Elephas maximus indicus: one gene and its partners. The protein of the gene in region 1 purifies or fractionates together with the protein of each later gene. This does not show direct contact. Links are inferred from orthologs where the notes say so. Each region holds a gene or a part of one and is shown in the gene's direction. Other genes may lie near its edges.

Evidence for each region.
Region 2: the proteins of PHLPP2 (region 1) and USP1 purify together in Homo sapiens (affinity purification with mass spectrometry; 3 studies listed by BioGRID and IntAct, with this or other methods). This does not show direct contact. The link is inferred for Elephas maximus indicus from reciprocal best matches to the Homo sapiens genes PHLPP2 and USP1.
Region 3: the proteins of PHLPP2 (region 1) and NHERF2 purify together in Homo sapiens (affinity purification with mass spectrometry; 3 studies listed by BioGRID and IntAct, with this or other methods). This does not show direct contact. The link is inferred for Elephas maximus indicus from reciprocal best matches to the Homo sapiens genes PHLPP2 and NHERF2.
Region 4: the proteins of PHLPP2 (region 1) and USP12 purify together in Homo sapiens (affinity purification with mass spectrometry; 3 studies listed by BioGRID and IntAct, with this or other methods). This does not show direct contact. The link is inferred for Elephas maximus indicus from reciprocal best matches to the Homo sapiens genes PHLPP2 and USP12.

Annotation. Positions count from the first base shown.
Region 1 is NC_064839.1:38,713,967-38,720,799, forward strand, and holds the start of PHLPP2 (PH domain leucine-rich repeat-containing protein phosphatase 2), read left to right. Parts: upstream 1-3,832; 5' UTR 3,833-3,887; coding exon 3,888-3,986; intron 3,987-6,833. UniProt on the Homo sapiens protein: Protein phosphatase involved in regulation of Akt and PKC signaling.
Region 2 is NC_064821.1:107,649,165-107,656,682, forward strand, and holds the start of USP1 (ubiquitin carboxyl-terminal hydrolase 1), read left to right. Parts: upstream 1-4,511; 5' UTR 4,512-4,601; intron 4,602-6,874; 5' UTR 6,875-6,943; coding exon 6,944-7,113; intron 7,114-7,518. UniProt on the Homo sapiens protein: Negative regulator of DNA damage repair which specifically deubiquitinates monoubiquitinated FANCD2. Also involved in PCNA-mediated translesion synthesis (TLS) by deubiquitinating monoubiquitinated PCNA.
Region 3 is NC_064830.1:59,124,413-59,131,969, forward strand, and holds the start of NHERF2 (Na(+)/H(+) exchange regulatory cofactor NHE-RF2), read left to right. Parts: upstream 1-4,557; 5' UTR 4,558-4,720; coding exon 4,721-4,933; intron 4,934-7,139; coding exon 7,140-7,340; intron 7,341-7,470; exon of another isoform or gene 7,471-7,557.
Region 4 is NC_064841.1:59,199,188-59,206,978, reverse strand, and holds the start of USP12 (ubiquitin carboxyl-terminal hydrolase 12), read left to right. Parts: upstream 1-4,791; 5' UTR 4,792-4,977; coding exon 4,978-5,025; intron 5,026-7,791. UniProt on the Homo sapiens protein: Deubiquitinating enzyme that plays various roles in the regulation of the immune response and inflammation.

The DNA of each region.
Region 1 (6,833 bases):
CCAGGAGAGGAATTTGAACAATTTTAAAACTACTAGGTATTAGTAATGAAAAAGTCTTAAGTTCAGTTGGAAATTTCAACCATAACATGATTAATTACATGCTCATCTTCTCCACATATGTGAATTCTCAAGGCAAAAAAAAAAAAAAGGTGAAATGTGTATTAGGGGTGGTCATGGGTTTTAATCGTATGTTTCTATTTGTGAATTATTCAGGTTTATTTGTGACCAGGAAGAGGAGGGCCGGATCAGCCAAAATGAGTTTTTATTTTATGGTCTATTTTATATGAACTCTTTTCTGTAGAAGTGAGAGTGGTTGGAGGTTGGAAGCTTCAGATTTTCTATTACTCTGATGAGTCTATTATTCTGATTCCCTTGATTGGGAAGGGGAAGGGCGTAGGCCTTGGCAATTACCTAGTTTGTGCAGAAGTGCCCTTTGGAACTATTTGATAAGCAATATTTCTATAGTCTTTCCTTTTATATGGTTTAAATTCATCCTTGTTTTTAATATTAAACTTAATACCTTCATCTACATGTAATTAGATGAAAATACAAAAGCTACAGTAGAAAAGCCTAGCCAGTAATGGACTCCAGAAATTTACTCAGCAATGCAATGAACAATATTTAGATTTGAACCTCAGCCCTGAAAAGCCGAATTCATTTCTATTCCATAGTTTTCCACAGTTCAGTTGTCCCTATTTTTGAAAAATACAGAAATGTTCATAGGGTAAATTTTCTTCAAACCCTGAAGCCAGGTAAACGCTGCCTGTTTGTCTGAACTAAAATAAGACTAAATTTGTTCAACCTGTGGTAGAATAAGGAATTCAGGCAAAAGTTGACGTTGTGATCATAAAAAGAGTGGGAGCTAGATACAGCTAAGTGATTGTAGTATCATATGGCTTCTCTACCAGAATCTGATAGACAAGAAAGACAAGAACTTTCTTTTTCCAGATTTTCTTCCCATTTTGCAGTGAAGATTAGGAAAAGCTCTGGGGTGGGTAGGTGTGTGTGTGTGTGTGTGTGTGTGTGTGTGTGTGTCCTGAGATGATGAGAGCGCACAGCTGCTGCAGGAAGGACACAGAGCAGGGAGGACTTCTAATGACTGCTCTGCTTCTTGGCTTGATCCAAACTGATTTTTGTAATGATGAACCTGCAGTGAGGGCAGATGGATTTTTGCACAAAAAAATCCCAGATGAATTTATTTTTAGGGTTAGTCTCAGCTGTTCACCATTTCCAGAAATTGTAGTTACATAACCCTTGGCAGTCATAATGCACACTGCCTTGAACTGAAAGACACATGAATATGTGACCTTAGCAGCAAAGTATGAAATGTTAATGGTAATATATGACTTGAAAAGAAAACTCTATATCAACTGGTTGTCACTACTGAACTGGAAATCTGGATCTTAAATCATGGGGACCTTTAAAGGGAGCGGCATTATATACATCATCCCCTGAAACATCCTGCTGGTGGCCTTTTTTTTTTTTTTCTTTTGGAAGAGGTATTACTCTGAATTAATCCTTTAGCCCACTATCCCGTCAATGAGAAAACAAGTCAAAGCAAAAAAACCCAACCATTTACCAGTGCTATTCCCCAGCAGGAATTCAAATTCTGGTCCTGGGACAAGATCTTTTCCCTTCAGGTGATCAAACAATAAAGAATTTGTGCCCATGAGATGTGGAAAAGGTAATATGTAACAATATCTCCAGAAACAGGCTTTTAGAAACATTTATTCTGAACACATTTTTATTCTAACTGCTGCCTTTGCCCCTTGGTCAGATTACTTCTGTGTCTATACTGGTGCCTATTCCTTATACACCAGTATTCTTGCCGGAAGAATTAAGCACTAAGAGGGGTATGTGACTAGTCTGAGTAGCTTTCTTGAAAGCAAGTTAACAGTAGACAGGGGTGGGTGGTGGTGGTGGTGGTGGTGAGCCAGCAAGTCAACAATACAAGAACTTTCTTCGCTTTTCACCAGGCTCTCAGAGATGAATTTTAATTAATTAAAATGAGACAAAACAAATGAAGCTTAATGGTGATTTGAATTTTGGTATATTCAAAATGAAGAGAAATTAGTCACCATCCTTTTACAGAAGTAATAATTGGTACAGGGTCAGAGTCTTTGCAAGAGCCAAATTTTGTTTTGGAATTTAAAATATCTCCAAATATCACATAGTAGAGAAGGAAACAATGCACTGTTAGATTTCAGCCTTTCTTGTATTAGGCTTAAAATTAAAATATTTTAGATGGTTGGCCTGAACTAGGCAAGGTGAAGCAACGGATAATAGGTAATGCCATCTTTGCCATGTATTCAAAGTTCAAGACATTATTGGTTTTCTGCTGTTAAATTCCTTACAAGTTCTTTGAAGATTCATGGATACCTGTGTAAGAGGGGAAGGTCTAAATATCTAAGAAGTCCAGAAGGCATCCTAGGAAAAAATTTTTTTTTATAATTTATTTTTGTTCTTGAGAATATACACAACAAAGCATACACCAACAGTTTCTACATGTATAATTCAGTGACATTGATAGCATTCTTCAAGTTGTGCAACCATTCTCACCCTCCTTTTCTGAGTTGTTCCTCTGTTAACATAAACTCACTGCCCCATAAGGCTCCTATCTAAACTTTCAAGTTGTTGTTTCAATTTGATCCCATATAAAGAGGTCTTAAAAGAGCATAATGCTCAAGGCATTCTTTACTAGTTAAGCTAAACTATTGTTTTAAGAAGATTCCAGGGAATATTTTTGGCTTAAAGATTATCTTAGGACAATGGTTTTGGGGGTTTATCCAGCCTCCATGGCTCCAGAAAGTCTGGATTCTGTGAGACATCCTAGAAAAATTTAAGAGGAACAAGAAGAGTGCTTTTTGAAAAATCTAGTGAATCTTAAATTTGGAAATTCAGAATTAGAATGGCTACTATAAATTTCGATTTCGACTCATAGCTGGGGTCTGGGTTTTTTACTATAAATTTCGACTATATGTTTAGTGCTTTGTAAGCATTATTCATTAAGTCGTCATAATAACTATCAAGCAGATATTCATCTGTATTTCACAGCTTAAGAACCAGAAACTTAGATCAAGTAACTTACACAAGGGTATAGCTCAAATAAGTGATAGAGCTGAGATTTGAAATCAGGCTGATTCCACATTTGGCCCATTGGTCACAAAACTATCATCACTGTAGGAACTAAAACAAAACGATAACTTTTAAAGATTTTCCGACTTAGCATTGTAAATAATCAATGGCTCACAGACTGTATTACTCTTTGAGGGAGAGAACAGACTTCTGGTAATTTTGCTACAAGAGGAGGAAAGGGAATTTAGATATTGCTGGAAGATGAGTGAACACATTATTTTGGGTCGAATTTGCTGACGAAGGTCGTAAGCCATCTCCAGTAAGGAAGAGAAAGGGCCTCGTTAAGGTATTTTCAACAGTTCTTCCAAGGGCTTTGCAAGTGAGGGTGACAGGCCGGTTTTAAACTAGAAAGGAAACGTTTTAGAGAGCTAACTTACAGGAGCCACCCTCGGCGGACTGCAGCGTCCAGTGACAACTGACAGGTGCAGGCACTAAGGAGGCGGGGATAGCTGTAAATAGCCCTTCCTGCGCCTCAGTCCTCCAAACCCAGCGCGGCCCGCTGCAGAGGCTCAACCCTGCGGCGGCGCCGTACTCCGCCCGCCGAGCCCTCGGCCGGCGGCTCCGCCACACCGGGGCCACCCGGGGCCCGCAGCTACGCAGGTCCGGCGGGGCTGCGGGAGGGGGCGGGACCAGGGGCGGGGTCAGGGCGGGACCGCGGCTCACGGGGGCGGGGCCTCCGCTGCTCGCGCGCGCCGCTGAGGCCCGGCGCGCCGTCGGCCCCGCCGGGCGTCCCTGTGTGGTCTCTGCTGCTGATGGGGGAGGTGGAGCCGGCGCCCGCGGGCCCGCTGGAGCCCCTGGAGCCGCCCGAAGCGCCCGTGAGCCGCTGGCCGGGAGGAATTCGGGTCCTGAAGGTGAGGCGGGCGAGCCGAGGGGGGAGTGAGGGAAGGAGGAGGCCGCCCCCGCCCGGCGCGAAGGCCGAGGCAGCTGGCCACCCCCGCCCGCGGCAGTCAGTCAGCTTGGCGGTCGGCCGCCCCTCAGCCGGCCGCGGCCACAGTGGTCCCCGCCGAGGCCTCCGCGCGGCGCCCGCGCCCGCGCCCGCGCCCCCGCCCCCGCCCGCGCCCGCGCCCGCGCCCCCGCCCAGGCCTCGGCCGCCTCGGTCCTCGGCGCTGCCCATCCCTGGCCCCGCGCCACCCGCCTCGCAGGCCCCCGCCTCGCAGGCCCCCGCCTCCGCTGGCTGTCTGCTGGGCCGCCGTCGCCCACCGGCCTCTGTGGGGCCCCGGGCCGGCCCTGCCTCCCTCGGCCGCCTCGCCGCTGGCCCGAGCGCGGGGCTGGAAGCACGCAGGGCTCTCTCCCCAGACACCTGAAGACATCACCCCAGCGGGAGGATGGCGGCGATGATTGGCCGCGCGCTGCGGTGTGCTCGGGGCTGCGCGGGGCGGAGCGGGTAGACTCTGCCCTCGGGGTTCACAAGTGAAGTTGCCACCCGGCTCCTCGCTCTGTAGACGTCGGCGAGGAAGTACGACCCGCCTCGTCTGGGGAGGAAACCTACGGAGGAGCTTAATTAGGGGGAATCGCTGGGCGTGCTGCGGGAGGAAGGAGGGGCTGGACCTAAAGGGGGCATTCCTGATTGCAGGAGTGGGGCTAGCGATCCGGGGAGACTGTGATGGGGGAGCAGTTATGCAACAGGCAGCAAGCGGGGCTTTTTGGCAGGAATTAGGGGAGTAGGAGGAAATGAAAGCAGATGCAGGCAAGTGGAGCCTTGGAGGTGATGACAAGAAGTTTAAGTGCATATGGAATGTAGGGTGGGGAGGGGCAGTGAAGATGCTTAGAAGGAGGGATTGTGTAGGCTCAGGGGAGTCTTCTACTAGCCTTTGAAATAGTTGGAGAGAAACTTTCTGTATGTCAAATAAGTCAATTAGATGTCCTTCTGGAGGTGGAATGGAATTCATTCTGGAGTTCTAGAAGAGAAGTCGATAGGATTTGAAACTTGCCAGGGAGAAGGAAGAGAGAAAAGAAAATTTACAAGATTTGTTGTGTCAAAAATACCTTGCAAAAGAATTAAAGTATACAATGTTAAAAATGCATTAAGTCATAGTAGTTAATTGGGATTGAGTTTGAGCAGTATGCACTTGTTATTAACATTATTAGTAGGCCATCGCAAAGATGGATTAGAAGGATCTAATGAATCCATGAAACAACATAAACTAGAACTCTGTAAAATATTTAAAAAAGAAAAAAATTCTGCCACTACCTCTCACTCTTAATGCAGGGACTTAAAGTAATAACCTTTCATAGATTATCTCCAATTTTTGCATGACCCTTCTATATATTTATTATAATTTATATAACCATAGGTTGTAAATGTAATTACCCAGAGGTTTTTGGATATTTATTTAAAACTGAAATCACAAAAATGTAAATTGTGAATTAACTCTATTAAAAAATGTTTTTTAACTTCACTCGGCTTATCGGGAAATTGCAGGTCTGAGAGATAGGCAATGCCTTCTGGCCTAGAAGGTAAACACCCTTGCTTTTTTTTTTTTTAATAACTTTTTTGGGGGGTGGGGGATGGGGTGAGTTGTGAGAGGGAAGGAACTGAGAAATGAGAACCTTTATTGAAGACAGTCTAACCCTTCTTCCCTGAGATTCCAATCAGGGGACCATTAGAAAGATTCCAGAAACTGATGGTAATTACAATACTGAGATGGTGTGGGAGGCAGAGTCTTTAAGACCTTTGCATCCTTACTTTATTACATATAAAAAGACCAAACCCCTTGCTGTCAAGTCAATTCTGACTCATAGCAACTCCATAGGACAGAGTGGAACTGCCCGATAGAGTTTCTAAGGCAGTATGTGATCTTTAAGGAAGCAGATTGCCACATCTTTCTCCTGCAGCTGACCTTTTGGTTAGCAGCCGAGCCTTAACCACTGTACCACCAGGGCTCATTTATTGCATATAGTCAACAGTTTAAATAATCCTTGCAAATAATTGGCCCCTTATGGAGGATAGGTGGTATATGTTCTACAACAAAATTTCCCTTCAGTAACCAAGTGGTTGAATTTTGTGCCTAGTGAAACTGGAAAAGAATATTTAAGTAGAAGACTTCTAATTGGGAAGAAAGTCATAATTTCCCACATGTTCACTAAGGACCCTTTGAAAACAGCTTTTCAGTCTGTTTTGTAACTTTTTTACATTTAACAGATCGTGAACATCATTATTGTCAAATTATATATGTAGATCTTCATAAAAAGGCGAATATAACTAAAGTCAGACTATATCTAGGTGCATCTATGTGGGGTATAGGAAAATTTGATTCACAGTCTGTCCCCAGATTTCATTTAGAAAATTGCTATTTAGAATGTATTCTTTTACAGTTATAGTTGGAGTATAAGTATGATATTTTTAATACTCTTAAAAATATTAAGAGTACCTTTGAATTTTTAAAATATTCCAGATGTTTCCTATGATTTTAGGATTATGTTTTATTTAATTTACTCAGTCTATAGAAGCTGTGAAGTTACAACTGATTACTGGTAGTCAGTAAATGCCCTGAAATTTGTTTTTTCAATAATTTAAATTTTTTGTAAGAATAAGTGTGCGTGGTTTTAAAAAATCAATACCAAAAAGATTTTAAGTACTGAAATATTGTTCTCTCCCCATCCCAGCCAACTCTTCTTAGCCCATTCCAAAATATTCTTTAACATGTATATTCCCAGAGATGAACCCATCTTGTTTTAAAAGTTTCAAATGGAGGAAC
Region 2 (7,518 bases), on another chromosome or scaffold:
GTATTTGCAGTCATTTCATATCCATGTGAAAGCTGAAATTAAAAAGGAAGACAGAAGAATTGGTGCAGTGGAATTGTGGTGCCGGCGAAGAATACTGAATATACAATGGATTGCCAGAAGAACGAACAAAGCAGTGTTGGACAAAGTGCAGCCAGAATGCTCCTTAGAAGCAAGGAAGCTGCGACTTCATCCTGCTTTGGATATATCATCAGGAAGGACCAATAACTAAAGAAGGACATCATGCTTGATAAAGTAGAAGCTCAGTGAAAAAGAAGATTCTCAATGAGATGGACTGACACAGTGGTTGTAAGAATGGGCTCAAACATAGCAATGATTGTGCAGATGCTGCAGAACTGGACAGTGTTCCATTCTGTTATACATAAGGCCACTATGAGTCAGGGCCAACTTAATGGCACCTAACAACAACAAAGCAAGAACTTTGTGGTTTTTTCTACCTACAACTGAATGAAAGCAAAAAGGATCAGAAGTATACTGAGTTTTCAGATGAATTGTATTGCCGGAGATACACCAAACTTGATTTGCATCCCTGGGTTTCTGCTGTTGCTGCCCACAAGCACAGTTACGGACATGTTTGGTTTTTCTGAAGCAGCATTAGCTGAAGTCAGTGTCTAATCACTAGTTCTGCAAACCTTGATACGCAGAACCTAGGACATGTATTATCCTAGTGCAGATCATAGCAGGCACAGGGTGGTTCTGGAATGGGCAGCTTGAGTACCTTTCTGATGGTAGTGATTTCCTAGGCATGGAAGTTGCAATGTGGTCCAGAAGCCACCATTTCCTGATTATAGAAGTCATAACTCCCTTAGTGGTCTGATTCTGCAAAGATTCTGAAAAACTAACCTAGAGTCTATTTCATCAGCATTCTCAAGGACTCAATAAGCTCCCTGCTTATACTACCTGGAATGGATTCTACTCTCTGCAACTTAATCTTGATACTATAAACTGTACCAGAAGAGTAGAGGGTGCAGACAATAGGATCCCAAGGAAACTGGAAAGGAGTACGTACTGGTTTGAAACCCTGGTAGCATAGTGGTTAAGAGCTACGTCTGCTAACCAAAAGGTCGCCAGTTTGAATCCACCAGGCACTCCCTGGAAACCGTGTGGGGCAATTCTACTCTGTCCTATAGGGTCGACAATGAGTCAGAATCGACTCGACGGCAACAGGTTTTTTTTTTGGTATGTATCAGTTATCTGTCCTCATACAGTTAGAAAGTAGCAATCATTCTGCTAGTGCTAGAAAGAATGAGGCACTGTCAAATTAGGCAATGGCAAATTAGGTGAGACTGACTTATATTTTCTAATTCTGTCCTTTTCTATGCTGGCCTCAAGAAATTTTGGGGTGCTTTCTTTTTCTGTACTCATATAAGAATTATAAGTTCCTTGAAGGTATCTCGTTTTGGACCTATTTTACCAACTGATGGTAGCACAGGCAGTTTAGAGATCACTATGTGATATCATAGTGTTCTTTTAGAGTTACAAACTCAACGATTAGTAGCTTTGTAAGTCTTACCCCTGAAATGGGCATTTGGAATGAATAATGACTTTAAGGTGGGTAAATTAAGGGACTTTTATCTGGGTTTTAAGGTTCCTGGCTTGGCAAGGGGAGAGAGTCTTCAATGCCCTGCAGATTTTCTGGGATAAATAGTTATCACTCTATAGGTGATTTCTTCTAGTCTCATGGTTTTAAATACCACTTGGAGCCCTGGTGGTGCAGTAGTTAAGACCTATGGCTGCTAACCAAAAGGTCGGCAGTTCAAATCCACCAGCCGCTCCTTGGAAACCCTATGGGAAAGTTCTACTCGTTCTATATGGTTGCTATGAGTTGCAATCAACTTAGTGGCAACAGGTGTTTATTTTTAGTGACTCTCATATTTATATCCACTGATCTAAATTCTCCACTGAGTTCCAAACTTGGAATCTAACTGCTGACTCAACATCTCTATTTGGATGTGCAACAGGTATCTCAATCCGACTTTGTCTAACAAAGAACAATGATCCATCCCTCCCACCAAACCCACTTCTACCCCAGTGTTCCCCATTTTAGCAAGGGCCAACCACTATCCAGTTGCTCAGGCAAAAACATACAAACAACTTTACATCTTTCTTCTTTCTTGGAGACCATGCAGCAATCCATAAGCAGATCTTGTTGGCTCTACTTCAAAATACATCCTGAATCCTAACCATTTCCAACACTTTCATTGCTACCACCTTATTGAAAAACAAAAAAACAAAACCCATTGCCATCAAGTCGATATAGGAAGAGATGGCATTTTATGTATGATGGTAAATCATTAAATGGTTTTGAACTAGGGAGTGGCATGGTTTTAAAAGTGACTTGTGGTAGATAGATTGTTGAGCTTCAAGAGCTTAAGCAGGGATGTCAGACAAGAGACTATTTCAGTAGTTCAGGGACTAAATTATGGTGGCTTTTCAGGCCACCCTGCTTAGGGTCTTGAAGCTCAACAATCTGTCTACCACAAGTCACTTTTAAAACCATGCCACTCCCTAGTTCAAAACCATTTAATGATTTACCATCATACATAAAATGCCATCTCTTCCTATTTGATCAGAACCCTGTCTGCCTCACTAATCTCATTTCCTATTACCTTCTCACCTAGGCTCACTGTACTCTAAGCACCTGGGACTCTTTTCTTTCCAAAACGTGAAGCCCACTGAGCCTCACGACCTTTGTAGCTTGCTGTTCTCTACCTGGACCATAAACTCAGATTCTTCTAAAGCTCGCTCCTTCTTTAATTCATCTCTCTGTTCCAATGCCAACTCCAGACCATCCTAAGACAGTACACTATCTCTTTTTCCTATTTATATTATTTAAGAGCTCGGCTATTCGAATACACGAGCCGCTCCTTCAAAACCCTATGACGCAGTTCTGCTCTGTCCTATAAGGTTGCTGAGTCGGAATCGACTGGACCGCAACGGGTTTAGTTTTGGTTTATGTCTCCCCCTCTAGAACGTAAAGCTCCATTAGAGCAGGGAATGTATTTCATTCACCGCCGTATCCTTGACGCCTAAAAACATACTTGGTTAAATGAATTTGGACTGAAGACCTCCTGCTCTGTGAGGTCACCTCACTAGGGTAAGACTGCAAACACAGATGGAAACACAAACCAGGTGAGGCCTGTGTTGCCGCCCTTGAGCCCCTTAGCAGGGGGTCTCTCGCTGGAATCCTTAGCCGTCCCCTCACTCCCCAGTCAAAGCTTGGACTTAATATTTTCTTTCCTTGCGTGGCCGGAAAGGGGAAAAAAAGGAAAAAAATGGAGCGTGTTAAGGTAGGAAGGAGCCTCAGCTCTACACCATTCGGCTGAGCATTTATTGCTGTCCGTGGCAGCAGTTGTTTTCATTGGGATGGCCCTGGCACCAGGGGTGCGATTCCGAATAGAAAACCCTGAACGCCAGCAATAAACCAAAACTGCTCAGCCATTTTCCGAAACCAGTCGCCCGAGGACCGCTCCCGAGAGCGTGCGCATGAGAGGGGCGGGCTTACTGTAAGGGCCTCATCCGGAAAGCGCACGCTCCGTGGCGTCCCACCGTAGAGGACTAACAAAACGCAAAGCGAGGTTTAGCAGGCGGCACGGAAAGCGCGTGCGATCGGAAGCAGGGGACGCGCTTGTGTGGAAAACTCTCTGTCTAACAATGATTGGCTGGCGCCCTCTTTTTTTTTTTCTTTTTTAGAATTGGCTAGACTGCCTTCCCCCACCCCCCGGTATCCAGGTACTTCTGATTGGCTTCTCCTGGAGGTGGTACAGAGGCTTTGGTGATTGCTCATCACGGATTGGTGGATTTGAGCCCCTGGCGGCTGTTTCTCAAGGAAGGGGACCGCCCCTCTACTCTCTGTCCTGTCTCCCGACCCGTACGCTTTTCTCTCAACTTGCGCACAAATGGTTGTTGAAAAAAAAAAAAAGGGTGTGAGGCTCGAGCCCGCCAGCCAGGCCTCTAGCACCTAGCGCGCGCCCTCAGCGAGGACCCGCGCGAGCTGCCCTGTACTGTGCCTGCGCTGTTTGAAATTGCAGAACCCGTTAGGAGCTGGGGGAAACTACCGTTCCAGCTGACTCCGGAGCTCGTGCATGCGAGGGGGCCGAGTGGCGGTCGCGGGGCGGCTCTTGCCTTTGGCGTCTGTGCAGCTTGGAGACTAGGACCGGCATTTTCGAAAGACGCCGCCTTCAATAGCAGCGCTGGCGCGGGCGGAGGCTAAAACCCGGGGGTCCTGAGAGTGAGGAAAACGCGCCAAGTTCCCCTCGGTGGTGGAGTAGGAAAGACCCTAGCGGCTCAGGAGCGTCGGGAGCGGGGCCGCTTCTTCTTGCGCCCTTTCTATCCCGGGGCGGCCGCAGGCGGCCGCCGCTCCGGGAATGTAATTGGTGTCGGCGTAAAGCAGGACCAAGTGGCGGCCCGGGTTCCCGCTCTTGAGAGTGGATGGTCACTCCCCCGCGGGAGGGCGATCCGACCAGCTTTTTCTTGGGTCGGGGACCCGGGCTCCGAGCTGGAACTCACCTGTCGCGCCCACACCCATCCCGTCTGAACTCGCCGGCGTCACCGTCGCGGACCTCGCTTTGAGCCATGACCAGGTACGGAGGGCCTGGGGAAGGAGGGGCCGGTGCCCGGGTATGGAGGCAAGTTCGGCCGGCGCCTGAGTGGGGCCGTTCTGGGACCCGGGCGTCGTCGCTGCTTGGAAGACTCCAGGGACCATTTTGCTCCCTCGTCCTTGCTCGGGGTGCCAACCCGAGCCTTCTGTGAGGGCTGCCCCCTCCTGCAGCTCCTGGGAACTCGAGAAGGCAGGTTCGGGCTGGGCGTAAACAGGCCAGCTCCACGGGCTAAGGGGCCGTTTTCAAGTGAGCGGTGGCGGCGCCCCACAACGCCAGCGGCCAGCGTCCCACCTTGCCCAGCGCTGTGTCTGAAGGGCACGGACATCAGTTAACACGATATCATGTCAACTTTTGAGTCTCTTTTCTGTTCCATGGAGTGGTGATAGTAGGGAGAAGAGATGTTTTCACTCGAGTACTATGTAACTGCTAAATTTTACCGTGCAATTTTTGACACTAGAAACTTTAAACTCTTTAGAACGCCACTGAAGTCTTTGCGGAGGGTGTTATCCTTAGTTGTTTCACATTTTTCTTGAAAAACAAGAGTTGAGTCCTGTGATCTTCTGAAGGAAAGAACAAAACTTAGTGGTACTTTGTGTTCACCCTCTTGTTCAAGAACATTCAGTGTTCGATTTATTGTGTTCTCTGCAAAACTGGATTTACAGTTTTGCGAGAAACATTTTTGATGTTACAACCCAGTTACAAGGAGAGCCAGAAGGATACTATATGGCACCTGGTAAAATGTTACATTCTTGCTAATCTTAGTGACTTGATCATTGCTTCGAGGGAGGGTTGTTGGTTTATTGATTCGGACGACGATCCCGTGTATCAGGTGCTTCATCATTGTTTCCATCTGTTAAAGTCAGAGTATCCTATCACAGAGAATGCAGTTTCTACTCGTTAGAACTGGTTTTCAAGAAAAGTCTTTGAAGAATTGTTAATGCTTAGAAATCCCAGTGTGGTGCAGGTTATGGTTTATCTTCATAAGCATATGAATTTCATCACTAGCATTAAGCGGCCAGGAGAGTAAGTTGAGCTGGAGACGGGATGGAGAAGAAATTGGTCAACTTTCCAGTTCTTCCTGAGTTGTCTCCAAAATGTAGTTTCACTGCCGAGGTTCAGTGCTGAGAATTCCCAGATCAGAGTTAGCTGAGTGAAACGCTTATTAAGGGTGGAATTTGAGTGAATTTTTTCTAGTGCATCATACAGAGGTAGTCACATTTGAAACTTATTGCTGAGGTTTGGAGCTTTAAGTAATTTTCTGGTAATACTCCTGTTAGATCATTTTCCCCCAGATGTCATAGTGAATGATAACAAACCTGTTGCAGCCAAGTCCATACCGACTCATAGGGACCCTATAGACTGATATATAAAAGAGCTACAATGTGGACATATTTTTTCATTGAACAGTTTTGCTTTAAAAGAGTAGAAATGCTTGCCAGAGTCAAACCAAATCATCTTTTTTTTCCTACTCAAAGCAGTTTTTAAAAATCTATAGTTTAAAAAAAAATTGCCTTGAAAGTGAGTAGAATATTGTGGTGTCTAGAGCATGAGAATTTGATAACTATACACAAAGTGCAACGATTTTTTACACCATCCCAACTTTGCATATGTTTTATTACCTTCACTCAGGGTTTTAGATATAACTGAATGCAAAATCTATGCCTTTTTATGCATATTATACTTTAAATATTTTATAGATTTTATTTTGCATATTTATATTAATAACTAGAAAAGGCCTTGGGAGGGAAGACTTACTCATGTCCAGCACTACTGTGATTTCCCAGTCATTCCTCTCCATAGGCCACTTCTTACTTTAGAACTAGAGATGCTAATTGCTCAATTTTTTTTTGAATTAATAAATTACAATGATGAAAAATTAAATTTTTACTCCTTACTACTATATTTTTCCATAAAGTGGGATATTTTGAGATATGACCCTTAATCTAATAGCACACTGATACAGGTTCAGTATCAGATATCTTTCATTGTTTAAGAAAGTTAAGGACTAATAGCACACTGATACAGGTTCAGTATCAGATATCTTTCATTGTTTAAGAAAGTTAAGGACAGTGTCGCAAGCTCCTTCATTAATAATGCAGCATATATTGAGTGCCTATTACTGCCAGGAGTTAGTTTTTAAGTTTGAAGTTCTAATTAGTACCGTTCCTGTAGTAAATTTGTTTTCAGAGTTCATGGTTTTGTTGCCTACAACTGATAACTAAATACTAATGAAACTTTTTTTCTATGAATAACAGATATAACTGGTGATTACACCTTGCCTCTATAAATTAATTCTTGTCAACAACTTGGGATTTGAAGAGAAAATGCCTGGTGTCATACCTAGTGAAAACAATGGGCTTTCAAGAGGTAGTCCATCAAAGAAAAACAGACTTTCCTTGAAGTTTTTTCAGAAAAAGGAAACTAAGAGAGCATTGGATTTCACAGAGTCTCAAGAAAATGAAGAGAAAGTTTCTGAGTATAATGGAACTGAAATGTATGTATCATATTTTAAATATATTTCTGTACTTCTTTTATTCCTCATTGGTGAAGCAGAGAACTGGGGTTGACATGTCCAGACATTCTAACTTGATACATAGAGGCAAAAAAAAAGTCCACATTAGTGAGACAAGTCTAACAGTGTATAGTAGGCACAGAATCAAACTGCTGGTTCCTAAGGGATCACCTCCATAGTGTTAACTCATTTGCATTGTGTTCAACCACTTAGACTAACTTGGAAAAATATTTGTTGACTAAAATTATTTTTCAGAGTTTAAACATGTTATTTGTAGTGCAGCACATTTGTGAAAAGGTAAAAAATTAGCTGGTTTTTTGGTTTAGAAGACTTGAAAGTTATCTGAGATTTTTAACCTTTGTAGACATGTCCAGTATATGAATTAGT
Region 3 (7,557 bases), on another chromosome or scaffold:
GCCCGCAGCGCTCCCACGCCTAACCCCGGAGGAGTCGATGCAGCTGCTAGAGCGCGCAGCTGTGCCCAGGGCAGTCGTCTCGTCAATAAACCCCGCCTGGTTTCCGCGCCCCTGCGTGTGACCATTTTTCTCCGCGCTGTGAACTTTGTCATCTAGGTCTGGGGCAGAAGCAGCCGCTCCCACGCCCTGGCAAATGTCAGAAGCCCCTTCTCTGGCTGCAGGAAGCCCCAACCACCCAGCGGCCGAGATCCACATATCCTGAGGGGGGGCAAGGGAGGGGCAGGGACGCTGCCGGAAACTGGGCTCCTTCTTCTGCCAGTGCTGCTTCCTGTTCAGGGGTTGGGGTCCCCAGGCCAGGTGCCAGGGTATCCGGGGGAGAGTTGGCCCCACGTGGAGAGGAGCAAGACAGACCCTGGGCCCTACTGCCATCCACTGAGGTGTACCGGAGGAGAAGGTGGGAACTCATACCGCTGAGCCGGACCCCCTCACCCACAGCTCCCAGCTGCCTTACAGCTCCGACCTCAAGCCCAGGCAGCCCAACCAGACTTTCCTGCTCTCTCCTGCGTTCATTTCATAGCTGGCTCTCTATGCCTCCCCTCCACCCCCCGCGACCCGCTCTCCTCATTCACTATGGTTTCCTCCTTCGCGACCCCTCCCCCCCCGGTTCGTATATCCTCCTGAATTGTCTCCTCCCCCCACAGGGTTTCAGCTCCAGCCTGCCTCAAGCGTCTGGGCCCCTCCCCCCCTCCTCCCTCTTTAACCGTCTTAAATCTGGCTTCTGACTCCACCCAACTGTCCTGGACCTCGAACTGCCCGGGTCACGGTGCCCAGATTTCAGGGGGCATTGAGGTACTCCAGCCTAGAGAGGTTGGTGCCAGGTGCAGGGGGGGCAGAGAGGATTAGGGGCCAGGCAGAGGTCCCTTTGTGCCCCATGACACCCCATATGGCCCTGAAGCCCAACTAGTCTTAGGGAGCCGGTCTCACCCCAATTTCCAGCCCTAGGACGGGACCCAGGACAGCCCTTGGACGGTGCAATCCCGCCCAGAGCCGAAAGGTGGCGCTGCGCGGTTGCTGTTCCCGGAGACGGCGGTGGGAGGGGCTAGGGGCGGGGCCAGAGCGGGTGGGCGAGGCAGGGCTACCCAGGCCACCTTGGCCGCTGGTCCCCTCTACCCTAGCGCCGCTTCTGCCTCTTTTCTGACCCTCCTCTCTGTTTGGTCCTTGCTGCATCTCCCTTTCTCTCTCTCGTCTCTGTTAATACCATCGCGTTGGCCCCGCCTGCTCCAATTTCGGGCTCTAAAAAGTGCCCCAGGGCCCGGGGTAGTCTGATGAAGGAGGCCCTAAACAAGGCTTGGTTATTCTACTGGGGCCATTAGTTCCCATCGGGGCGGCAGCGCCCTTCGGGAAGCTCTGGGGCATTTATTGGGGCGTCAAACTAATGGCTCCGCTCTCCAGCCAGGGCCCCCAACCCTCTTCAGGCAGTGACCAGGCCTCTGCCCACCCCGCAGCCACACCCGAGTCCCCACCCGGGCCTCAGGCTCCGCTCCATTGCTGGGCGGGCAGTTGCAAAAGGGATGTAGGTTCAATGCTCAGAGGAAAGTTCCCTGCCCCAGGATTGGAGGGCCTACGGTCCAGCACAGGGGCAGACTTCACTGCAGGTGGATCCTCCCAAAGCCCAGAGGAGGGAAGGGACAGAAACATGTGACAGCTTGGGCATGCAGGTGGCAGGGTGGTGTGGGTGGATGGTCAACAACAAGGTCTCTGACCACCTCTCACCTGACCCTCTTTCTGCCTGCTGCTGGCCTGGGGGGCTAGGCCACACTCTCTCACAGCCAGCAAAGTAGAGCCCACTTTCTGCAGGATCCCTGCCCCATGGCCAGATGGCGCTGACCCAGGGTCTCCCAGCCCTCTCCCTTGCCCCATGCCCTGCAACCCCAAAGAGCTGCGGCCCCTCAGCACCTGAGTTCATACTGTTCCCTTTCTCTGCTGCCACCACAGTGGACCACTGTGCCTAGGGACAGCCCCGGAGCAAGGCTGGGGGTGGCAGCCTGGGGAGGGGTGGCCCACGAGAGCCACTGGGCCACCTTTCCTCATCTTTGCTACTGGGGGACCTCCCAGCTTACTCATCTCTCCTGCACTTAGTCCTGCTTAAAAAAAAACAAAAACAAAAAACATTGCCATCGAATCAATTCCGACTCATAGGTTTCCAAGGCTGTAAATCTTTATGGAAGCAGACTGCCACTTCTTTCTCCTGAGGAGCAGCTGGTGGGTTCGGGCACTGACCTTTTGGATAGCAGCTGAGCGCTTAACCACTGCACCACCAGGGCTCCTCTTATTCGTGCTAAAAAAACAAAAACAAAAACAAACCTGTTGCTGTGGAGTCTACACCCCTTGAAATTCTTACCCTGGTTCCTCTCTTGCTGGAGGAGCCCACCACCTTTGTTCTCCACTGCCTTTGTTACTCTGATGTTGCATTTGTTACTCCCATTTGTTACTGGGTTACTTTCCTGAGTACTTTCGCAGCTTCTTTTTTCTTTGGAGCCACCTTTGCTAAGCTAGGACTTCAGTGTTCCTTTGATACTTCCTGGGTTCCTAGCCCTCTGCTGTGACCACATGCTCCTAGTTACTGTTGTGTCCAAACTCTCCTCGCTGTTCCATCCTCTGTCTTGGCGGGTGTGTGTGTAGGGTGTGGGGGGGGGTGGGGAACAGCTGAGTACTGGGCTGCAGAAGGCCAGGGAGGGCCTCAAGTCTGGGCTATGAGAGTGTGCTCCACAGAGGGGGGTTCCCCAAGCCCCCAACCCAGGTGATTAGGTGCCCCTATCTTCCCCAGCCCCTGGCTTGGGGTCCCCCAACCATCCACCTCCCCTGCCACCACTGTGGCTCTGCAGCTACAACCTGGCAAGTCCTGGGGGTCCTGGTTGCACAGGTATGGCATATGGCAGGCCTGCACCCAGCTGCACAGCCTCCCAGGGAAGCAGTGCCAGTGAGGCTGGGCCCAGAGAGGATGAGTCACAGGCAAGGTGAGGAGACACAGCCTCTGGAGAGGCAGACAGTGGCCAGCCAGGTCTGAGCCTCTAGTAGCATTAGCTGGAACTGCAGAGGAGGCGTGAGGGAGCAACTATGCAGCCTAAGTGGCTTTTAGGGGCAACAGCTGGGGTGTGGGCACCCAGGGAGTCTTGGCCCAGGATGCTGCTCAGGGGTAGGCCCTGTGCTCAGGCAGGGCCTGGAGAGCCAAGGCCGAGGGCACTGGAAGGAGGCGAGGGAGTTGCTAGGATCAGGCTGAGTCTACTACGGCTCCCCCATGGGGAACTGGCTGGGCTGGATGTGCCTGACCCCCAGGAACCAGGTATGTGCAGGGGTCAGCAGGGATGGGGAGAGACAGGCCCGGGGGGCAGAGGGTCAGCCTGGGACTCAGCTGTCTTCCTGCCTTGGAGACTGCAAAAGGGCCCCACAGTAGAGTGTGAACTCTGGAACGTCACAACCCTAGACCCAAGCTGGTCTGGGTTTCCTGACCAGTAAAATGGCCCAGCTCCTAGGGTTGTTACAGGTAAGATGCACACAGCATCTGGTCCCCAGAGAGGCAGAACAGAAGCATAAGTGATTCTCCATAATGTTTATTGTCTGTCTGGGGGAAGTGGGGCTGGGAGGGAGGCCCGCAGGGGCCAGTTCAATGTGGAACAGCCCCTGTGCATACTGACCGCAGCTGTGTCTGAAGCACAGTGCATCCCAGGCAGGAAGAGGGTGGCACAAGACCTCTCCATGGTGTTACCCTCCCCACACCTTTTCCCAGCCAGCAACTGCAAAGACATGGTCCAGGCCTGGGGCCCCTGAGATGACACCAGTGAGGGACCCCAGCAGAGGGAGGGGTCAGGGAAGGGGGTTGTTTAACTGACACACAGCACAGATAGTACACTTCCTGGGAGGGTCAGGAGTGCCCCATCCCCTGACTAGTAGGTGTGGGGAGGGCCACAGCCATGCAGCTTTTTGAGCCCCTCTGTTGGCCTCCTGGCCCACCCTGGGCTGCAGGGGGAGCAGCTCTGGGTGAGAGAAAGGTTCAGAGACAGGAGGAGCAGGCAGCAGGGCAAGTGCTGGGGGAGAGGGTGGTGGAGACGGGAAAGCCCTTGTTTTTACCCATCGGCCCCTGTGTGGGGTCCCTGGGCCTGGGGACCGACCCTCTCTATACCCACTTCACCCACTGGAGAGCCTGCTTTGGTGCCATGCGTGCAGTACCCATTGCCATCGAGTCGATTCCAACTCAAAGCAACCCTATAGGACAGAGTAGAACTACCTCATAGAGTTTCCAAGGAGCCTGGTGCAGTTGAACTGCTGACCTTTTGGTTAGCAAGCATAGCGCTCAACCACTATGCCACAGTAGGTACTCAATAAATGATCCAGGAATAGGAGGCACTGGCGCCGAGGAGGCTGCCCAGATTGAGGCTGAGACAGTGGGAGCCTCCGAGGTCTGCCGGCCCGGCAGCCCTGCCTCTCGGTCAGCGGGGACTTCGGTCGGGGGGCGGGGGCCGACGGCAGAGGGGCGGGGACGGGGCGGGCGAGGGGCGGTACCGCAGCCTGAGTCCGAGCCGGAGTCCGAGGCAACTGGAGCGAAGCAGGGCCGCCGCCGAGATCGCCGGTCCCCGCAGCCGCCTCCTCCGCGCCGCCCCCCGCGTCCCGCATTGTGGGCGGCGGGCAGTGAGCCGAGCCCCGCGTCCCAGCGCCCTCCGCCATGGCTGGGCCCGCGCCGCTGCGGCCGCGCTTGTGCCGCCTAGTGCGCGGCGAGCTGGGCTACGGCTTCCACCTGCACGGCGAGAAGGGCCGCCGCGGGCAGTTCGTGCGGCGCGTGGAGCCCGGCTCTCCAGCCGAGGCGGCCGCGCTGCGCGCCGGGGACCGCCTGATCGAGGTCAACGGCGTCAACGTGGAAGGCGAGACGCACCACCAGGTGGGTTTCCCCTGCCGGGCCCCCTTCCCGGCGCGCCCCTGCCCCGCAAGGCCGGGGCTTGGGGCCCGGAGGGGGTCGCGCAGGCCTGCAGGGCCCGGTGGTGGTGGGGGGGAGATATGGGGACGCGCCACGGAGGCAGCGCCCGCCTCCTTCCCAGCCACCCACCGAGGAAGCTTGTCCTGCACCGTGGGGTTGGGGGGGGCATCCTGGCAGGCAGGGGCCCGCACTGCGGCTCCAGCTGCTCTGGAGGCTCATTTTGGCCTCAGCGCCCACGATGAGGGATGGTGCACCTTGGGGGGGTTTGTGAATGCCCGAAAGTAGAGACCCTGGGTGTTCTTCTATGAATGTGTGTACATACGGTTGGGTGTGTGTGTGACTGTGCAGGGCCCTGTGGGGTCACCCGTGTGTGCACACATCTGCCTGTGTGTGTACCTGGTGGGGGGGGGTCACGGTAAGGGCTAGTGGGTATATGAATACACCTGTGTGTGCCTGTATCGTTGTGTATATCTATGTGCATGTGTGTGTACCCAGCTCTGTGTATGTGTGTGTACATTCTGCACATTTGGGTGTGTGTGTGACCTGGGCTTTGAGTGTATGAACTGGTCTGAATATGCGTGTGTGTGTATAAGTATGTATGTGTGTGCACTTGGTTGTGTCTGTATGTGTGTTCAAGTCTACATCTGGGTGTATGTGAGCTGGGCTGTGTGTGTCTGTGCGCATACAAGTCTGTATCTGGGGGTGTGTCTGAGCTGGGCTGTGGGTGTGAGCTGGGCTGAGTGTGTCTGTGTACATACAGGTTTACTTCTGGGTGTTTGTGAGCTGGCCAGCCCCTGGGCCCAGAGACAAACAAGTGGGTTCTTGGCTGGGCCAGGAGCTGAACTGCTTCTACCTCAGGGCCCTTTTCTGTCCATCTGTCTGCTGTCCTGACTTCCAGCCAGAGTGTCAAATGGATAAGGCTGTTTGCTGAAGGAGGGTGGGCATCAGAGGCTGGAGGGTTTGGCCTGACAAGCTGGAGGGCAGGGTAGCTAGCAGAGCTGGTGGCTGGCCTCTGTTTACCAGCTGCCACCACCCTCACCCCAAGACTGCCAGCTTATCGCAGGCCTTCCAGGGTGCTAATCTCTAAGAACACCCCCCACAGAACGAGGGACCCTTCCAACTGCCCTCCGAGGCGCAGGAGTGGGGGAGGTGCTGTGATGGTTCCCCTTTTACAGATGAAGAGACTGATGCTTGCAGGTGTGGGTGTCTCGTCCAGGTCACACAGGGAGCAGCAGGGTCTTGGGGTACCAGCAGCTCTCTAGATCATGGGGAGAAAGGAGGGAGAAGATGGGCCTGGGCCAGACCCTCCTATCTGTTGACAACATTGCCCAGCAGCTGAGGGAGAGGCCCTCCACCCTCCCCAGGACATGTGGCCTGGGTGGGGTTGTGGCCCCATTTTGTAGTGGACACTGGGCCTTCCCCCTGTGGCCACACCCTGGCGTACACACCCCATGCTGCCCACATGCCCCAGGCTCGTACACAGGCATGCACACAGGCCCACACTCAGCCACAACACCACACCTGGCCCACAGGTGGATCTGCCTCTCCCTGCATCCACCTGCCGGGGCTGATCTCTGACCAGACACCATGTGTGTGGTGTCTGAGCCTCGCCCAGATGGGAGTGGGGACCTTGTCACCTCTCTGCAGCCTTCAAGAACAGATCCAAGTTCTTGGTTTGGAGGTGAACAGAGACCTAGAGGCAGGCAGAGACTTAGATGCCCACTTTCCACAGCCAAGAAAGACAGAAATGGGCACAGATGCACCCAGACAGGGGCCCAGGAGACACCTTTTCCTCTCTCCTACCCAAACTGTGAGACAGACCCCAAGACAGATGATCGCACGCATGTGAACACACACACATGCACGTGTACATGCACACATATACAGATGTGCACCAGCTCTCACCCCCAGACTGACTCATGCAGCTGGCTGCCCCCTGCAGCCTCCTCCTGCTAGGACCCTGCGGCCCTTGCAGCCTGGGCCAAGGTGCTGGGAGTCCTGGGAGAAGAAGGGAGGGCACTGCTAGAGCTGGGGGTGGGGGGTGGGGCCACGGGCCTCTAGGTCCAGCCACCCACCCCCTCTGGCCCAGCCAGCCCTGGGTGGTCTTGCCGTCCATGTGTGGCCCCAGGGTGTTGACTGCTGACCTAGTCCCACCATCCACCTGTCCCAGGTGGTACAGAGGATCAAGGCCGTGGAGGGGCAGACGCAGCTGCTGGTGGTGGACAAGGAGACGGATGAGGAGCTGCGCCGGCGGCAGCTTACCTGCACGGAGGAGATGGCCCAGCAGGGGCTGCCACCCACCCACGACCCCTGGGAGCCGAAGCAAGACTGGGTGGCTGCAGGCAATCTGGGCTCCGAGGCTGGCGGGAAGGTATGGTGGGCTCTGCCCACAGGATTTGCCTCGGCCTCTTGTCTGCACCTCTGCTTCTGGTCACGCCTGAGGCCTCCTCCTGGGGCTTTTCAGCCTCTCAGGGCCCCTGGCTTCTTCTCCTGGTGATCTCCGTGTTGGCCACTCAGGCCCACTCTTCCTGCCCTCTGCCTGTGTTCTAAACTGGGTGAGGTCGGGGCAGCATGGCCCCTGTGTCACT
Region 4 (7,791 bases), on another chromosome or scaffold:
TTTGTGGCTAAAATCTCCAGTGGGTCCCCAAGGAGTCTCAACCCCACCCTGCTGGGTTCCATCAAGTTGGTTCCAACTCACAGTGACCCTACGTGACAGAGTAGAACAATCCCATGGGGTTTCCTTGGATGTAATCTTTACAGAAGTAGATCACCAGATCTTTTTCCTGGGAAGTTACTGGGTGGATTTTGAACCAACAACCTTTCAGTTAGCGGCTGAATGCTTAACCATTGTGCCACCAGGGCTCCTTCAACCGTACCCTGCCAGAATTGAAACGAGGTACTTTTGCAAGAGCGGCTATAGCGGAGTCAATACAATATAGCCTCTGCAGCTGGGTTTGAATCCTAGTCCCATCACTTGCTAAATTTGCAAGCTTGGAAATATTCTCTCTGTGCCTTGGTTTTCTCATCTATAACATGGGGATAATAATAGTATCTACTTCCTTGGGTTATTTGAGGAGTCAGGAGTTAATACACATAAAGTGCTTAGTGGCACAGATAAGGTCTCAATAAGTGCCAACTCATTAGGGATGCCTTCTGTTCTTGACAGGTGCTGTAGAGTCAATTCCGACTCCTGGTGACCCCATGTGACAGAGTAGAACTGCTCCACAGGGTTTCCTAGACTGTAATCTTTACAGAAGCAGATTGCCAGGCCTTTTTCCCACTGAGCTGCCGGTGGGTTCGAATTGTAGACCTAAGCAGCCTAGTGCTTAACTGTTGTGCCACTAGGGCTCTTTTATGGATGTTTCACATCCCCCTTGTACCCCCCTTCCCACCATCATCACAGGTAAAAGGAGAGGTGGCAGAAATGTATGAAGTAGCCCGTGGCAAGCTGGAGACAAGACGAGTAAAGGAAAATAAGGAGTTTGTGAGGAACTGGGAAGTGCATGATTTTGTAAAGGTATTTCAAACAAAAACTTGTTAAATACACTGTGCTGACCACCCAGATTAAGCTTAGCCCTAGTCTGTTCACGTGCTGGGTCCCTGAAGGCTTTGGCATATTTTATAGTTTACACATTCTGGCAGGCTTGCTGGTCAGTCACACACATCCGCCTTAGGCAAAAGGGGGCTCTTTGTAAAGTTGATACAGTTGCCCGTAAAAACTGTGTTCCACCAACTGCTCTGACAGGTATCACAATAGAGGGTTCTGGACAGAGCAGGAGACAAATGTAGAACAAAATCCAAATTCACAAAAATATGCCAGACCAGACTGACAGAGCCTGGTGGACACCCCGAGAATATGGCCCCTGGACACCCCGTTAACTCAGAACTGAAGCCACTCCTGAAGTCCACCTTTCAGCCTAGGATTAGACAGGTCTATAAAACAAAAACAAAAAAAAAATTTTTTTTTTTTTTTTTATAAAACAAACAACATGCCTGAGGAACATGCTTCTTAGCCCTAAAGCATAATAAAATTAAAAAACGAAATTGCCAAATCTAAAAAAAAAAAAAACACAAAAAACCCTGAGTTCTAGGCCCAGATTAAGTGTCCTGATTGCGCAGATGGTTAACACTTGGCTGCTAACCAAAAGGTTGGTGGTTTGAACCCACCCAGTGGCTCTGCAGGAGAAAGGCCTCGTGATGTGCTTCCATATAGATTGTTGTTGTTGTTAGGTGCCATCGATGTGAGGTGCCGTTGAGTGGGTTTCGACACATAGCGACCCTATGTACAACAGAGTAAAACGATGCCTGGTCCTGCCATCCTCACAATCATTTCATTGCTGCGTTCAAGCCCATTGTTGCTGCCATTGTGTCAATTCATCTTGTTGAGGGTCCACCACCATCAGTCAGTGTGTTGTATAGTGGTGGCTTGTGTGTTGCTTGGATGCTGGAAGCTATGCCACCGGTATTTCAAATACCAGCAGGTGCACCCATGGTGGACAGGTTTCATTGGAGCTTCTAGACTAAGACAGACTAGGAAGAAGGATCTGGCGATTTAACTTCTGAAAAAAAAATTAGCCAGTGGAAACCTTATGGATAGTATAGATCACAACCTAGAAAACCCTATGGGGCAGTTCTACTCTGTCACATGAAGTTGGTATGAGTCGAAATCGACCCAATGGCACCCAACAACAACGGTGTGTGCCAAGTGTGGAGTTTCAGCCAAATCTTATCCTCAACTGCATTATAGATAGTGAAAACCACCCTGTACAGCACCTGGCAAATAGTAGGATCTCTCCGTTTGTGCCTCTCCACTCAACCTTAGGCTAGGAGACAGGTCATTGTGAGGTTCTGCAGTCAGGGTCTATGACATCACTTGCACATTTAGATGGATGTAACACCTACTAGGCATGCCTCCAGATGATTCTATCAGAAGTCAATTTAAAAAAGGCCTGTTTTCATATAAACTTATGTATAAAGTTGGACCAAGGAGGCCTCCATTCTTGTCACATTTTAGGATTTACAGGCAACTAAGCACGTGGGTGGGCAGCATAGATGGAGGCGTGGCTAAGCCTCTGGCACATTAGATCTGCTCCCTGGAACAGAAGGAGTCCCTGGGTGGTACACATGGTTAAAACCGTTAACGTGCTTAGCTGCTAACCTGAAAAGCTGGTGGTTTGAACCCACCCAGAGGCACCTTATAGGAGCTTTGGTGCAAAGTGGTTAAGCGCTTGGTTGCTAAGCAAAAAGTTGGTGGTTGGAACCTACCAGCTGCTCCACGGGACAAAGATGTGGCAGTCTGCTTTTGTAAATATTATAGCCTTGGAAACCCTATGGGGCAGTTCTGCTCTGTTCTACAGGGTCACTCTGAGTCGGAATCAACTTCGCAGCAGCAGGTTTAGAGACACCTTGGAAAAAAGGCCCGCTGGTCTGGTTTGAAAAAATTGGCCATTAAAAACCCTGTGGAGAATGGACACAGGAAATACAGGTTGGAAAGGAGGAGTGTGCTGTCACATTATAGGGAGAGCAACCAGGGTCACGTAACAACGTGTGTATAAATTTTTGTATGAGAAACTAACTGAACTGTAAACTTTCATTTAAAACACAATAAAAACAAAACAAAAAAATCCTGTGGCATGCGGTTCTATTCAACACACATGGGTTTGCCATGAGTCGGAGTCAAGTCGACAGTAAGTTTCTTTTTCCTGGAAGAGAACACAAAGTAGAAAGGATAGGATGCCATGGGCATTTATTAAGATGGGCAAGACGAACAGGCTCCAGAGGCATGGCAACGTCAAAGGGGCCCACGCAAGCCCCTGGGATTTAAGGAGTTTTTAGTCCTTGTACAAACGGGGTGGAACACAGTGAAGAATTCAGATGGGTTGTCAGGAGGCTAGCAGGAAAATAGAGACTATGGCAATTAGTTTTAAATTGGTGAATGATCTCTCACGGCTGGCGATGGAAACTGCAGTGGGCTATGGAAACTGCTCATTAGCGCCTCTCCTCAAGCGATGCCCAGTCATGCACCCTACCTGCCATGCCTTAGGTACCCCTCTGGAACAGAGCCCTACCTAAGCTCTGGCTTGGGTGTCAGCAAAGAGGAAGGGCCCCAGCTTCCATGGAGGCAGGCACCTGGAGAACCAGGCTGGTTACTATGGGACTTGGCTATATTCAAACCGAAAAATATTCCCCCAAACAAGCTTATAACGGAAATCCCTATGGAAACTGCATTTGTGTAGCAAATGTATCTTTTTCAACTAAATGTTGTTTGGCTGCTTTATTTGCTTTTTGAATACTTTTAACCTGTGATGTAAGGAATACCTGATTTTAGAGCTTTGTCTAAATTCAGTCCCTCTGCCCCACTGAAAAGGGGGAATCCCCCAGGAAAGCACCCCAGCACTCTAGTTTGCCAACCGAAAAACACCACCAGCTTCCTAATATAATAAAGTTATTCTACTCATTTGAACTGCTTTCTGAAATAGGAAGAAGTAAAGCTGAGCTGCCTGACATGAAAAGCAGGGTGCAAGTATGAATTTTGTAAAAATAGAAAAGAGGAAATATCCCACCCTCACAGGACATTTTTCTCACTTGCTGGCCTTACTGCATCATTCTCGCTGCTGGGTTGAGATCTTTCTTTTTTTGCAGTTCCTGTTGTCTAGAACAAATATATTTAGATACTGTATTTATAAACATATCTAAATTCAAGGCTAACGGGAGCCAGGAAGGCAGGCCCTCCCTTCCTCCCCTTTATCTTTTAGTTCAAAGAGCTAGACATAATTTCTCCTTTGCCACTTTCATTTTTGTCTTTCTCTGAGTTATGGGCTGAGGCAACGCGTTCGGGTTTTTTTTGGTTTGACCCAGGTAAATACCCAATATATGTTTTAAAAAAAAAAAACAACCCTTACATTTTGGAAAGTGCTCTGGAGGGTTCATCACCCGGGCTATCCTTACAGAAGCGGGTTTCCCCTCTTCCCACTCTGAGTCACCCAGATAAGCGCCCTGCTCTTCGGTTTCGGGGGCCGGGACGGGCCGCGGTCCTCCCCCTGCAGGGCTTACCCCAGGACCCGCGCCTCGCGCGGCCGGCGCCGGTCTCTAGGACCGCGGGGAGGCGGGGCGGAGTGCGGCGAGGCCCAGACCCCGCCCAGCCCAGGCGCGGGGTGGGGCCGGGCCGGACTTCGCCGCTCGCTCACTCGCTCTGCGGGGTGGGGGCGGGGGCAGGCGGGCAGTGGGCGGGGAGAGCGCGGCGCCGCGGGGGCCGCGCAGCGGAGCAGCCGGGCACTAGGGCCTCGGCGGAGCCGCTCCCGGGAGGGCTGGGCGGGGTGCGCGGCGGGGGCGGCGGCTTCGCGGGCAGGCGCGGGCCCCGAAGCAGCGGCTGCGCCCTGCGCCGGGGAGGAGCCGGGGGCGGGCGGGCGGCCGGCGGCGGGGGCCGGAGCCCGAGGCCGGGAGTGCCTGAGCGCCGGCGGCGGCAGCGGCAGCACAGGCTCGGTCCGTCAGGCCGCGCGGCTCGGGGTCCGCCCGGGGCTGCGGCGAGAGCGGGCGCCCGGCTCCCTCCCCCGCCCGCCGCCGCTGTGATTGGGTGGAAGATGGCGCTGGGCGGATGGAAATCCTAATGACAGTCTCCAAATTCGCCTCCATCTGTACCATGGTAGGTGCGGCGGGCGGCGGCGGCGGCTGCGGGGCCTAGCGCGCTCCTCGCGGCCGGCCGGGCGGGCGGTTGGCCCGGGCGCGGGGGAGGGGAGGCGGCGCCGGCGCGGCGAGCGCGGCTGCGGGCGGCCGATTAGGGCTGCGGCGGCCGCGGGGCGATTAGCGCCGGACGTGGCGAGTGGGCGGGCTCCGGGCTGCTTCCCGCGGGGCGGGCGCGGGGCGAGGGCAGGGGGGCGCGGGCTGGGCGCTGCGGCCGTGCGGCGCGGGCTGGGCCGGTGCGAGGGGCGCCGAGCGCGCGGCCCCATTTTAGGCTGGCCGGGCGCCGTGCGGGGTGGTGTCCCCGTGTGTGTGTGTCCCCGTGTGTGTGTGTGTCCCCGTGTGTGTGTGTGTGTGTCCCCGTGTGTGTGTCGGGGGCGGGGGGTCCCCGGCAGGCAGGCAGGCAGGCGGGCGGGCAGGAAGGGTCTTACTCCTGCCCGGGGAGAGGACGGAAGTCAAGTGCAGATTTTCTCCGCGCGCCGCGGAAGGGGGCGTCCTCCGAGCCACGTTCGGGGGAAAGGGGGTGTGTAGGAAGGTGGAAACTTTAACTAAGTGCCGTTGACGTTTTTTCCATTTTCTACTCTTTCCGAGGAATGAGCTCTCCCGTTCCCAGCCATGTGTCCAGGTGGCAGTCTTGTCTCTGGGAATCCACACGAATCTTGAAGAGCAGCATTTCCTTTCCTGTCATTTGTTTACTTTAATACACCAAACATCTGTGTGTGACTTGAAGTGTTTCTGTGCAGAGAAGGGCTGCAAGGGTTGTTGCGATTGTTTTCTCAGGGCTTTTAGGTGGATTGAAAGGGAAGGGTGTTAATGCCCGTTGAAAGTCCAGAATGAAGCAGAATGTGGTTGTGTTTAAAACTTGGTGTTTCTGTGCTTGGCCGAAAGGACTACAAGTGGTGTGCAAAATGGCACAGAATTTGCTTGGTTAGCTCCCTAGGAACTGACGTCTAGGGATCATAGTTATGAGTCATTCCCCCCAAAAGTTATTCATTGCAACGTGGGCCTTTCCTTCTGTTTCACGTCTCACTAGCCATTTGTATGCATCTGATTGTGCTTAGAGATCCCCAGGCCACTTTGTATCTGAGGTGGTTAATTTTATATATCTTTAAAGAGTGGAGAATCACATAGGAGAGGTGCTTTAAAAGCAGTCTACACTGCACGCTGAGAAACAGTATTAAAAAAAATGACTGAAATCATAATGTGTATTTGGGTAGCATCTGACCTCATATACATTCGTGCCCTGTAAGGTTATAATTGAGTTCAGAAATCCCGAGTTTGGAGAACCGTGCATAGCAGACGGGACAGCTTCCCACTGGCAACATGTGTATCTCATGCCTCTTGGAGTCAAGGCAACTGTGCTGCCAGATGTATAACGGTACAGAACATATATAACCTGTGCTACATGTGTCTTGATAGTCACAATAAACACCCATGCTACTGGCCTATGTGTGTACTGTACTATAGTTTTTATTGTTATTTTAACGTGAACTTTCCCTGCTTACAAATAGAAAGTTTACTGTGTAATAGTGCACACTTCGAATGGTAGGCAGCAGCTTCCAGTCTCCTGTATCGCGCGTCCCCTGAGTGTTGTAGGGTTATCTCTCTTTAGTTTTGAAAACATTATCAGGAAGTGCATCATGGCTCCCAAATGCAGCAAAAGCAATGCTGGTGATAGCAGCAAGAGGCAAAGGAGGACTGTCGATTTGGAAGTGAGACAAAAGGTTGTTAAACAACACCAAGGTGGAAAATCATCAAATGCTATTTCTTGAGAGTTAGGCATGTTTGCACAACGTCCGAAACCCCTAGCGTATTTCACAGAATATATTGTTGATACTAAGCAGCACGTGACAGGGAAGAATGAATCATCGAAGGATCCATTTCCCCAGTTGGATATTTGTTCTTTCTAACAGTGTACATTTTAGAAGAGCATTAGTATTAAAGGGACTGTACCGACATGGTTTTAGAGGATTGTTTGGACCAATTATTTCTAGATATGCTAATTATCTTTTTCTGTTGCAAAAGGACTGTGATAATGAAGTGTTTTAAAGAGAGAAGCTTGCCAAATTGCTGAGCTGCACACATGGTCAGGTCATAGTTCATTGTCAGAGTCTAGTGTTTCCGGAACTTGAGTGATATGTTAGTCTTTACTAATCATTCTTTCATTCACCTACTCAGGTATATATTTAGCATCTATGATTCGGAAATGGGTTTTGGTTAAGTGCAAGAAAAGAAGTCCTGGTGGCACAGTGGTTAAGTGCTAGGCTGCTAACTGAAAGGTTTGCGGTTTGAACCCCCCAGCTGCTCTGCAAGAGAAAGATGTGGCAGTCTGCTTCCATAAAGATTACAGTCTTGGAAAGCCCATGGGGGGCAGCTCTGCTCTGTCCTGTGACAGGTTGCTATGAGTCAGAATTGACACGACAGCAATGGCTGGAGTGCAAGAGGCTTTGGTGAGTGTTGAGGATACAGCAGTACAGCAATGATCAAGGCAAATCCTTCTTTCCTGGTGTTTATATTCTAGTTGAGGGAGGCAGACAGCATTTAAATAAACATCTTGCTAAGTGTGTGCTGTAATCAGATTAGGGCAGGAGGGCACAGAGAGATTTGCCAGGGTGGCACAGAGAGTAAAGCTCCTTCTGGGGCTCCCACCCAGGTGCATTGGTTGCACGTGTGGTGTGTGTGTATTGGCAGATATAGAAATGGCAGTGCCTGGCCAAATGTAGTTTCAAAA